2 linked regions of the Caenorhabditis elegans genome follow. The protein of the gene in region 1 interacts with the protein of each later gene in a pairwise test. Each region holds a gene or a part of one and is shown on either strand. Other genes may lie near its edges. The genes, in order: unc-108 and rund-1.

The links.
Region 2: the proteins of unc-108 (region 1) and rund-1 interact in a two-hybrid assay, tested with the Caenorhabditis elegans proteins (one study listed by BioGRID).

The regions. Positions count from the first base shown.
Region 1 is NC_003279.8:3,820,755-3,826,696, forward strand, and holds unc-108 (Ras-related protein Rab-2), read left to right. Parts: upstream 1-2,128; coding exon 2,129-2,151; intron 2,152-4,192; coding exon 4,193-4,314; intron 4,315-4,367; coding exon 4,368-4,611; intron 4,612-5,006; coding exon 5,007-5,289; downstream 5,290-5,942. Other genes in the region: npp-11 (Nsp1_C domain-containing protein), read left to right, coding at 254-441, 497-570.
Region 2 is NC_003284.9:657,677-663,598, reverse strand, and holds rund-1 (RUN domain-containing protein), read left to right. Parts: upstream 1-1,821; 5' UTR 1,822-1,841; coding exon 1,842-1,947; intron 1,948-1,991; coding exon 1,992-2,058; intron 2,059-2,304; coding exon 2,305-2,449; intron 2,450-2,494; coding exon 2,495-2,722; intron 2,723-2,765; coding exon 2,766-3,002; intron 3,003-3,053; coding exon 3,054-3,184; intron 3,185-3,651; coding exon 3,652-3,775; intron 3,776-3,840; coding exon 3,841-4,152; intron 4,153-4,200; coding exon 4,201-4,325; intron 4,326-4,753; coding exon 4,754-4,821; intron 4,822-4,868; coding exon 4,869-4,975; 3' UTR 4,976-5,122; downstream 5,123-5,922. Other genes in the region: lpr-7 (Lipocalin domain-containing protein), read right to left, coding at 5,175-5,268, 5,392-5,575, 5,623-5,692, 5,743-5,828, 5,871-5,919.

The sequences.
Region 1 (5,942 bases):
ATCCTGCCATAAAACTATCAGATTTTTTTCTTGTTGAGAGTTTTTGAATATTTAAGCAAAAAAATCCACAGGTTTTTTTTAAAATCATAATAACTAAAACTTTTTGAAAGCATTTTTTTTGTTTTTTGTTCCGAAAATACTTAACACAATGCAATCGACAGTCTTGAAGACGAAAGAAAAAAAGCAAAAAGCGACAGCCCTGGACCTTACTCCCCTTAAAAATCAAAATAATAATTTCAAAAAAAAATTCCAGCGCTCAAATGATGCTCAACGTGGATTCCCAAATGAAATGTGCGGACTTCGATCTCGATCAAATCACCAAGTCACTTAACACAATGCAATCGACAGTTTTGAAGACGAAAACCGAGACCCCGCTGGAGAAAACTGAGCTTATTATGAAGAAGCAGCTGCAGAAGCTGATGGATCTCTCCACTCAACACGGTACTAATTTTAGAGTTTTTAATCAAATTATTAAATGTCAATTTTTATTTTACAGATGCTACTCGTGATAAGCTGAACAAGCTGAAGGATGACCACAATCTGAAAACGAACAACTCGTCGAAGGCCTAGATTCTTACTTTTTATTTATATATTCATTTTTTCTTTAAATTGAAACTCTAATTCTTTAAACCTATACACTTTCACCTGTTTTCTTCATGATCACCACCATCACACTATTTATTTTTTTTGTTATTGTCTGTTTTGTTGTGTGTTTGGTTGAGTTTGTGAATGAACTTGTTTTTAAAAAATATTGATTATATTTTGGTTTTTTTTTTCAAGTGTTTTTTAAAATTACACTGATATATTTTATATTTTCTTGTTTGGAAAATATTTACTTGTGTATTTTAACTCTACATTTTAAAATTAAATTTTAAATATAATTAATTGTTTTATTTCTTCATTTTTTTTTTTTTTTTGGCTTGGAAAATTTTATTTAACTAAAAAAATTAACATTTTAATATGTGGCCCAAGTTATACCCAAGTATTTACCTCTTGCTCTTTAAATTTCAACGAATTTCGTTGAATTTCCCCCATTTGCGGGGGTCACTATTGTTATCAAAAGATCCTTATCATAGTTTTTGATGCTCTAGAAATTTCTAATTGCTTTTCCTTGTGATTTTGAAAACGTTTACAGTGATGTTTCTCTTTTTTGATTTCATCAATTTATCTTGCATCCCTAGGAGCTCCTAGTCAAATGTTAGTATTTTGTGATTTTTGAAAGTACGGTAGCTGCGAGATCGATCGTTTCGAGACTGGAAACCCTACTTTTCATCAAATATCGTAAGATTCCTCGAAGGAGTAACCACCTGTATTGAAAATCGAGGGTGTCAGGTTTTCAATTTTTTGCTAAAATCGAAAAACTAAACTTTTCTTAGAAATAAGTTTTTTAATTCACCAATTTTTGTTTTTGATGTTGATGAAAAAATATATTTACGAAAACAATTTTTAATTTTCTTTTCAAAAAATAATAAAAATAGCCAAAATTTAAAAAAATTTTTTTGATTTTTAGTGGAAATTCAAAAACCGACACCCTTGATGTAAAATTTCCCAACATTGAAAAAGAGTGATATCATTTTTTCCAAATTAGTATTCGTCAAAGTGCAAAAATGCTCTCCGTCTCTTCTCAACGTTGTGTCGTCAATAGTGCTGCTCATTCGCAATTGTTGCTCTCAGAGAGCAGAAGTGGAGGATTATTCGTACACCTGAAGAGACTATATTCCCGCATTCTTTCCTCTTCGTCTTCTTCTTCTTCTTAACCGAAAAATTCGTCAAGCTTTCGCCTTGCTCATTATGCAAAATCTGTTTGCCCCGAGGTCCGGCTAAATGAAGGATCCGAGTGTGTTTTCGTTGAAGATGTCTTTCTTCTTTTCTGTTTTCTCTCTTTTTTTTCTTCTCCAGCTCCACGTAATTGGTGACTCGAGTAGAACTCTATAGCCATTCAGTCTTCTCCAACATCGTCTAACAAAGCCTCTCTTTCAGCTTCTATCTTCTCTCTCTCTCTCTAGTTGACGTCTTCTACGTCTCTCTCTCTCGTTTCAATCTCACTAACCCCCTATTCACGTGAATTCAGCGTCGTCGTCGTCGTCGTCTTCTCTACCCGTGATTCTCGTGACTTCACATAAGCACAATGTCTGCGCCTCCGCTATACGGGTATGATGATAGTCCAATAAGGAAGAGAAGCTCTCTATTGCAGAGTTGAATCTTTTGGGCTAAGTTTATTAATATGGCCATGCACCAGCTTTTTTTTCACATTCACTTCTCTTGTTAAGAAAATTTGAGTAAAATTCGAGTAAAATTACGACTTTTGTAGAATCTGCTATTTTAATTCCAGTGGCCTAGATTTTAAGCATATAATTTGAAGTTTTTAAAACTTTTTACCGATTTTTACTTTTAAAGTTAAAAAAAAAATTATTGATATAATAGTAGGTCCTAAATTATTACGATGTATGCTAGGTCTACTAGCTCTTCTGAAATGAATTTCCACAAATTTATTCGATCATTCCAGTGAATTGGAACTTCCCTCTCAATTGAGACTACAATAATTTGAACATCGTTAGTTATGCGATCAATTAAAGGGCGAAAGGATAACGCATACACTTTCGTTTGCCCGATGTAGATAACAGAAAAGCCATTAGTTGAGAGGCGTCAGTTTCATTATAAACTTCGTAATTCACTTCTGTTTCATAGGCAGTTGCAATGAAGTGATCGTACTTTAGATTTTTTTTTTCTAATTGAAATAATTTCTCCAAAAGCCCATGACCGGAAATCAATTTTTGAAATTTTCATCTGTCGCACACTCTCTTTTGCCAATTCTGTTTGGCTATATATATATGTGTGTGTGTGGTTTTGTGCATGGCTACGAGGGGCTCGACCCAATTAAACAGCACGAAAGGGAAAAGGAGTCCCTCTCTTTTTCGCTCAGCTTTCTCTTATTCCCGATTCTAGAGAGCCGCGCCCCCGACATTTGACATGGAAGAAGAAGAAGAAAAAGAAGAAGAAACATATGAGATCTCACGAGCGCACATCTTCTGAAATGAATTCCAATTGCACCTTCTTATTCGTGTTTCCTGCCAGCAGACTACTTTATTTCTTTTTTTTCTGATCTATGTGTCTTAGAATCTGAAAAAAATTTTTGTCCATATCTGGGCGAGACCCATGGAAATTAATGTAATGTGCCTTTAAAGGAACATGAAAAAGAAAATCCGAAAAAAAATTGAATTTGCAAAAAAAGATATCTCCAAGAAGCCTATTGCTCATTTATTTTATTTTGGCAAAATTGAAAAAAAAAAACATTAACATTTTTTTTTAAATTTTCAAGCAGTTATATTCGGTCATTTAAACTAAAAAATTGTGGCTCTACTCCACCTTGAAATAACCACAATAGTAAGTACAGTAGTTTCATTAAAATAATTTACATTTTTTGGCAGCAAAAAAAGTCTGCTCCCAAATAAAACCCAGACCCGCCGTTCATCACTTGTGTTATTCTTTTCTCGAAAAAAAACGACTCGATCCATTCGTTTTCAGGATATGCTTCTGTGTGTGTATGTGTGCAAAACGAAGAAGCACGTCATCCGAAATAAATAGTCACACATCTCTTTGCTCCCATTTTCCCTCTCTTTCTCTGGTTCTCTCTATCTCTCTTCATCTCTCTTGTTATAGACGCAGAGATAACCCTCCGCTCACAACCACGCTCACGAGACACTCACCACGCGCTCACTCTCTTCGATTTTTTGGCTGTGTTGGTGGTGGCGGTGGCAAGAGAGAGAGAGTGAAAAAATGTGAAAAAAAGGCATGGGTTCCTTGGAATATATATGTTTGGAAGAGGTTATATTGACTTTAACTAACTTTTTTTGCTCAAAAATTTTGCTCTTTTCTGCTATTTTCGCCAATTTTATTTGCTTCAAAAATGTTTTCTAACATGCTGGCCGAACTTTTCCCTATTTCTTATCCATCTTCATCATATGATTCGACCTCATTTCGTAACTTCCTTCACTACGCTCCTCAGTCATGAGGAAGTATTGATTGGTCTGCCTCGTCCACACCACGTCATCAATTTTCCAAAGTTTATGTTTTTTCAGTGTGTGTGTGTTCTCTTCTTCTATTACTTCTACCACCTTTCTCTCTCTTTTTTCACTTTTTTGAGCATTTTCCGATCAATCAATAATCGATTAATCAATTAATCAACTTCCAGAAGAATGTCATATGCCTACCTTTTCAAGTACATTATCATCGGGGATACTGGAGTAGGAAAATCCTGCTTGCTCCTTCAGTTTACCGACAAACGTTTCCAGCCAGTTCATGATTTGACGATTGGTGCGATTTTTAAATTTTATTCAAGTTTTTTTTTCAAAATAATTATTTTCCAGGCGTCGAATTCGGAGCCCGTATGGTGACAATTGACGGAAAGCAGATCAAACTTCAAATTTGGGACACAGCCGGACAAGAATCATTCCGCTCCATCACTCGTTCCTATTATCGTGGAGCCGCCGGAGCTCTTCTCGTCTACGACATTACACGACGCGACACATTCAATCATTTGACATCTTGGCTTGAGGATGCCAGGCAGCACAGTAATTCCAATATGGTTATTATGTTGATTGGAAATAAGAGGTAACATTTTTTTAAAATATAGATTATTGGTTTTTAATATATCGAAAAATAGGTTAACTACTGTTGAAATTCAACGATCGATCCTTGAATTTTGAAAATAAAAATTTTCGCCGGTTTTCCACTGCATTCTCATTCGAAAAAAAAGAACAAAACTAAAAAAATAGTAAAATCGAAACCTTTTTGATTAAAAGCTGTGAAAAAAAGGAGAAAAAACAGTGCCACTGGGTTGCGAATTCACGCTCCGCATCTCTTTCTGTGTGAAGTGTCAAGTTGCCTTTTGCAAAATTCAAGGATCGATTGTTCAAAAATTTCTCTACAAAATCGAACAATTTATAGAAATTTGGTTTTCCAAATAAACACATTTTTATTCAAAAAAATAAAATAAATGTTTTCAGTGACCTGGAAGCCCGTCGCGAAGTGAAACGTGAAGAGGGAGAAGCATTCGCACGAGAGCACGGACTCGTATTCATGGAGACATCTGCCAAGACGGCTGCCAACGTGGAAGAGGCGTTCATCGACACTGCCAAAGAGATCTACCGTAAGATTCAAGAAGGCGTGTTCGACATTAACAATGAGGCAAACGGAATCAAGTTGGGACCACAGCACTCTCCAAGCTCACCAAATTCTCCAGGTGGAAATGCGACGGGAGGATTGGGCGGTGGATCTGGATGCTGTTAATTTTTGATGATGTTTCTTTGAATGAGCTTTGAATGTTTTAACTAAATCGTTTGAATACCAATCTTTTTTATGTTTCCTCCTCTTTTCGAATGTCGTTAGGCACTTTTCTAGTCTCCTTTCTCTCTTCCAGAACCATAATTTTACTTTACATATATATTGCAATTGTCTCTTATTACTACCATCATTTACTGTATATTGTCGCCTGCTTTTTCTCTTTCTCCTCTCTTTCTCTATTTTCTCTCCTTTTCATTCAGTCTCTCACCAATTGTGTGAATATCTGAAATTCCTGTGATTTTCCACTCAATCCATCAGAACAACATGTTGTGAAAATCCCGCTCTCTCTCCCTCATTTCCTCTTAAAAGTTTGTATGTAAGCTCTACTTCTTTTTTCCTTTTCTAATTCTTTCCATTTAATTACTATACGTCTCCAAGCTATCAAAATTTTCAGTGAAATAAATGAATTTTATGAGCGTTTCGTCGAGGATGGAATATATTTTTCTTAAAGTTGAAGTTCTTTTTGATTATTTTCTACAGATTGATTGATAAAAGATTGAATTGATAAGAATATGGGGAGAGACGAAAATTTAGAAGAAATTAGTGGCAAGATTTTTTTTTTGGAAACTTTACAAATATGGTTTCTTAGAAGATGCGAA
Region 2 (5,922 bases), on another chromosome or scaffold:
TTTATTTATTTTTTTCTGACATTTGTTATTTGCCAAGACTATTAAAAAATTGTCAAACTCCCTACTCACCAATTTGTCAAACATTTTAAAGTTTGGCAATTTCCGAAAATGCGGACAAACTCAAAGTTAGACAAAAAAAATTTATTTGTTTTAATATAAATTCATTGAGAAGTGAGCAAAAGATTTACTTTTTTAAGTAATGTGTATGTTAAGTTGCTAAATAACTAAATAAAATGTTTTCAAATTTTCTTGAAACATAAAACTTTGTTTTTGATCTCACTATCAGCTTCATTATATAGCGTTAAATCAAATTTGGAAAGTTTCGACAGGTTTTTCTCATTAAAATATTAGCAGGTCTCAGATACTTCGAGTTTAAAAGTAAAACAACAAATGCATAGGCTTGAGAACTTTTAGGAAATTAGAAACTTTATGTTTGTGGCAAGTCTTAGCAATTGCTGAATTTTAAAATTTTCAGAAATTTCAGTAAACTGTCGATTTGCGAAATTTACGGAGAAACGGCAATTGCTGAACATTTTTTGGTTTTTCAATTTTGAAATTTAATTTTCGAAAATTTAAAAATGAATGCATTCATTAAATTCTCTCAGAGCCAACACGAAAAGTGAATAAATTCGCGCCACTCTTAAACCAACGTTCCTCACTTCTCAACCAACTTTAGCTTCCCACCACTTTCAAACCATGTTTAACCACTTCTGAACCAACTTTGCCCACTTTTCTACCACTTTTAAGCAACCAGTCGCTTTGCAACCAACCTTCGCCACCTTTCGCCGTTTGTAGTCTTCTTTAGCCAACTTCAACCAACTTTAGCCACCTCTCAACCAATTATGGCAAACTTTGGCCAACATGTGTTCAATTGTTTTCAATGATTCAGAGCGAGATAATCAGAATTTCTTAGCCAAAAAAAAAGCGTTTGAGATACAGAAAAAACCTCTTTCATTTTTACTTTAATCTCTCTTACCCAATTTAACATACCATACAACTTTTGCCACATTTTCCTACAAAAAACATCAAAAACGGAAAACAATTTCAAAAACTTAGTTGTGAATGCTTTTTTAAATAATTAAATAATTTTTATTAGTTTTGATGATATTATTAAATATATTATTTGACAAATGACAAATTCGGCAGTTTTTCAAAAACATGAAACTAAATCCGCCAGTTCGCTATTTCGGTTTTTGTAGAAATCGTCGTCGCGCAACCCTGGAGCATTTTCAAAGCCATATGAAAATTAAACCCCTCCATGTCGAAAAAGCTCTCATAATTATGTCCGCCCACAAGGATTTCGTTCGTCATTTCCAAGACTAAAAGCGTCCCTTCTCCATGCTTCTTCCGTCTTTCTCCACGTTACCCATGGCGGTCGATAACCAAGAGCGACGACGTGAGAGTGCATGAAGAACACGAGACGCAGTTTGTTGCCTCATTTCTCTGCTCTCTTGCGTGCTCCGTTATTTTTCTCCTTCTTTTTCCCCTTTTTTGTCCGGCAATCCTTTTTAAAAGCATACGTCATCTTTTTCTTTTTCAGTTTTTCTCTTCTCTGAAAACCCTTTTAGCAGAAAAACGGAAATTGGAAAATGAAAAAAAAGTAAAGTATATATTGTTTTTAATGTTTCGTGATGTAATTTATTTGTCCACTCCCATTTTTCATTTTCATTTTGTTTCAATAAATGGAATTTGTTCAGCTTTCAATTAACAATCTCAAAATAATCATCACTTCAAACAAAATTTTGAAAATGTACGTGTTATTCATTCGTAATAATATATAATTATTTTTTTTATTAATTTTTTTTCAACGTATTGTTTCAGGTGCCAGAAATTTTGCCAAAATGATGAACGAGTTGGAAGCCAGCGACTTGCTAGTAGAGTTGGGTCAATCCTTAAAAAAGCGAGCGTCCGAAGATTCAAAAGAAATTGTGGATGGATTGGATTTTTGTGAGTTAAAAGTGATTTTTGTTTTCTGAAATAATTGTTTTCAGATGACACAATGTCTGAAACTGAATGGAAAAGTGCTCGGTTGTCTTCTAGTCATAGTGATGATATTGGGTAAGCTTTTTGTGTAAATTGTGGTCAATGCAACAGTAGGTTCAAAAATTTTAATCCTGAATATCTCATTAAATTGATGTAGTCCAATTATTTTTAATGCTTTATTTCATCAAAATCATTTTTTGACTTTTTCCATAACTTTTTTCGAGAAGTTTTCAAAAATTTTTATTATGAAATTCGGTAAAGCAATAAAAAAAAATTTGACTGCACTACCTTTAACTGATAAACTCAGAACTCAATTTTTAGAAGCTTAAACGATGCATTACGGGTACAACAATTGGAAGAAGAGCAGGAACGACTCAATAACTCGTTATTTTCCCTGAGCTCCCATTTTGCGCAGGTGCAGTTCCGGATAAAGCAAATGAATGAAGCGGACCCAAGCGATAGATTAGTAAGCTATTAGGCTCAGTTGCCTCATCTCATATGTCTTTTCCAGAAGTTGCTCTCTGATCTTCAAAAATTTGCTTTCAAGGGTTGCACAGACATGAACGAGCTGCAAAGGCTACGAAGTGAAAGTGAAAGTGGAAATGATGTACTAGACAAGCAAAATGAACGACAAAAAGAATTGCTAAAACAGCTCCGCGAGCAAGTAGAAGACTTGGAAAGGACTGCCTATGAAAATGGAGAAGGCGAGCTTCCAAGTACTGACATTTTGAAGAAACAGGTTTGTATAAAAGTAAGAGTTTATGCTGAATTTTAATTTGTAGAAAGCCGTTCTGGATAAACTCCGCGAAAAAATCGAGTTAAATCTAGACATAGATAAAATGAACCAAACAGAAATACAACGGCAAGTAGATGATGCTCTGAAGCAACTTGTCAATCCGTTCAAAGAAAAGGGACAACTAGTAGACCAACTTCAGACTCAGATCACAGATTTGGAACGTTTTGTCAACTTTCTTCAGAAAGAGAATGCTGAAAATTCGAATCAAACTACACCGGTTCGGGTATGATCATTGTTGTTTTTCACTAATTTTCTAGTCAATTTTTTCTTTCAGAGCATGGGATCAACGCCGCTGTCTGGTGCCAAATCTAAAAACGGATCATTTTTAAGTGGAATCATCGGGTGCTCAACAGGAAGGTTTCAGAAAAATCAGCTGAAAAATACTTTGAAAGGAAATCATTATGGGTTAGTTTCTCAAGTTTGTGATCGAAAAATATTTACGCTTTTTAAATCGATAAAAATATTTATTAAAAGTTTGATACAAACATGTGAGCAAAAAACACCACTATACGTGTTTGCTCAAACCACAAGATACAGATCACGTATTTGCACACATTTATTGAGCCAAACTTTAATGATGTGTGTTTTTGACATACTACAAGAACTTTGGGTTTCGGATATTTGTCTGATTATAAAAAATTTTAATTTTCACTTTTTCAAGTTTTGATTATGAAACGAACAATCTTCAATTGGTTCTAGCACTGACAAAATTAAATTTTGCACTAACCACTGACCAAAAAATGTAACTTCCCAAATATAATTTTAATGTTCGGTTTATCAAAATATTTTTGCCAAAAAAAACACGATTTTATTGTTCAATTTCCCACATTCACTTCCATTATGCGAGCATCTTTCATTCAAACTTTTTGCAGAGACGAACGGGCGCATGTGCAACTAGCAGTAGACGCCACACAACAAGTGCTGGAAAAATACACCCTACTGACATTCGACTCGGCAACAAAAGGCCAATTAGAAGAAGTTCAAGTAGAAAATGACGTAGGGCACAAAATTCACAAATTCTCACATGAGGAGATATTTCATTTCGCAATATCACATTTCAGGAGGTCTTTGAACGATCTGAAGAGGAAGTGGTAACTATTGTCCGAAAGCAGCTGTGTCTTGCATTGAAAGCCCTTCTAGAGCATGGGATGCTCTCAGAAACAGTGGTGCACAAGCGGATACCGGGGTTAGGCTGTTTTGTCGCAAAAAGCTCGGCGGACGAGAAATCAACGTCATTGAGTCATATTTGGGATGTGATTTTATACTTTTATAATTTAAAAACTGGAAGAGACACCACAGATGCTCCTGTAAGAAAATTGAGTCAATCCTTTAAATTGGATCACGTCGGAGGAAGAAGCATAACTTCAAAACAGGTAGAATCTGTTTTTTTAAGGACGCGAACAAGCGAATTAATTTTTTAGGTTTTGCTGACAACAATTGAAAACATCATCTCGACTCACGCAAGATTAAAAAGATCAAAAGATGCGCATTGGAAAGCATTTGTCTCAGCTGCTTTGAATGAGAAAAAATTACCTGCTTGGTTGAGGTACGGAAGTCTTTTTTTCGTAAAAAAACCGCGCAACTTTTGAATATTTAGATCATACGTTTACCACTTTGTGTACACAAAAAATAAGACGCACTCCAAAATACAGTGCAATTTTAGATCATGCCGTTCCTCCTAGACTGAAAACCTCAGAAAATGTAGAAACACGTCTGAAATAAATATTCATCTTGACAAGGACTTTATCCGCTTGAAATTCCATAAGAATTTTGATGTTTTACCTATTAGAACTTTGCAAGACATTAATTAACTTGTTAGTATTATTGCTAATAATCTCGTACGAGTTCATTTATTTAGGGTGATCTCAAACAAAAAACCAATTATTTTATATCAAATCCTTGAGCTGCTACATATATTAATACCCGTCAATTGCCCTTATTTCAAATGTCCAAACTAATTAAATTTGTTTGCAGGATCATATTTCGAACCCGACAAGTTGTCGAAATGTGCTACAACTCTTGGAGTTATGTTGCAAGAACAGGTGGGTACCATCTTCTCTTTTTTCCATTTTCAACTCGTTATTTTCAGGCTGTGAGGAACTCTACACACTTCTCGAAGGTCTTCACAAATATAGTATTCACTTACCGGTTGACTTGGCTTTGAGGCCATTCGAACAAATCAAAGACGCATTTTAGTACTATAATATCAAAAAATTTGTAATAAGCATATTAAAATGACTGGAACTGAACAATCAAGACAGTTTAAAACAGGTTCGGGATAAAATAAATTAATTGCCACTTTTTTTTTGAAAATTGTTTTATTCAATAAAAACAATAAAATGGAAAATAAATTACGTTAGTACTTAAATGAAAGTGTTGAAGTATGATTGATAATTTACCCAAAAAGATCAGTGAGAACATTTGTAAGATAATTGTATGGAGTTGCTTTTTTGCACTGTGACCAGTCGGCGTAATGAATAGGGTTGCTTCTGAAAAATAATTTTTTATGAAAAGTCAAATTCGATATGAATTCCCAACGGTTGTCGGATACTAAAAAACGTTTTCCGTTCATTAATGTAAGGACATCTTGCGGGCCCAAAAGCCCAACCTACCCTGTGACATCATCCATGAATCCGGCTTTTTCCAAATCGGTCTCCACTTGATCCTTGTACTCTTTATAGAACTTTCTCAAATCTCGAACTAAACCAATCATTGGGAAACGAGCCCAATTTGAGAGAATTAGGTATTCATACTGGTTGTGTTGCTTATTTATTGGGCCAACTACTACAATTTGATCTGAAATTAGTTTTTTGTGATATGTGAAAATTAGCAAAAAAGTTTACATGGACACGGATCATCCTGCATATAGACATATGTTCTCTCGTGATGAATTATTCCGTATCCAAATGCAACCTAAACTTTCAAAATAATATTCTTCAAAATAATTAGTAATTAATACTCACTTTCTCCCCCGCATCTACACTTCCTGCTCTGAACTTTTCCTGCAAACTGAAAGCTGACGAATTTCCCGATTCTGCTTGGGGCATGACTGAAATACATTTCTTGTTGGGGGTTGATAAATTACACTTACACTCAGTTGTAGCGCAATACCGATTATGAACAGATGGAGTGTCCAGAGCCTG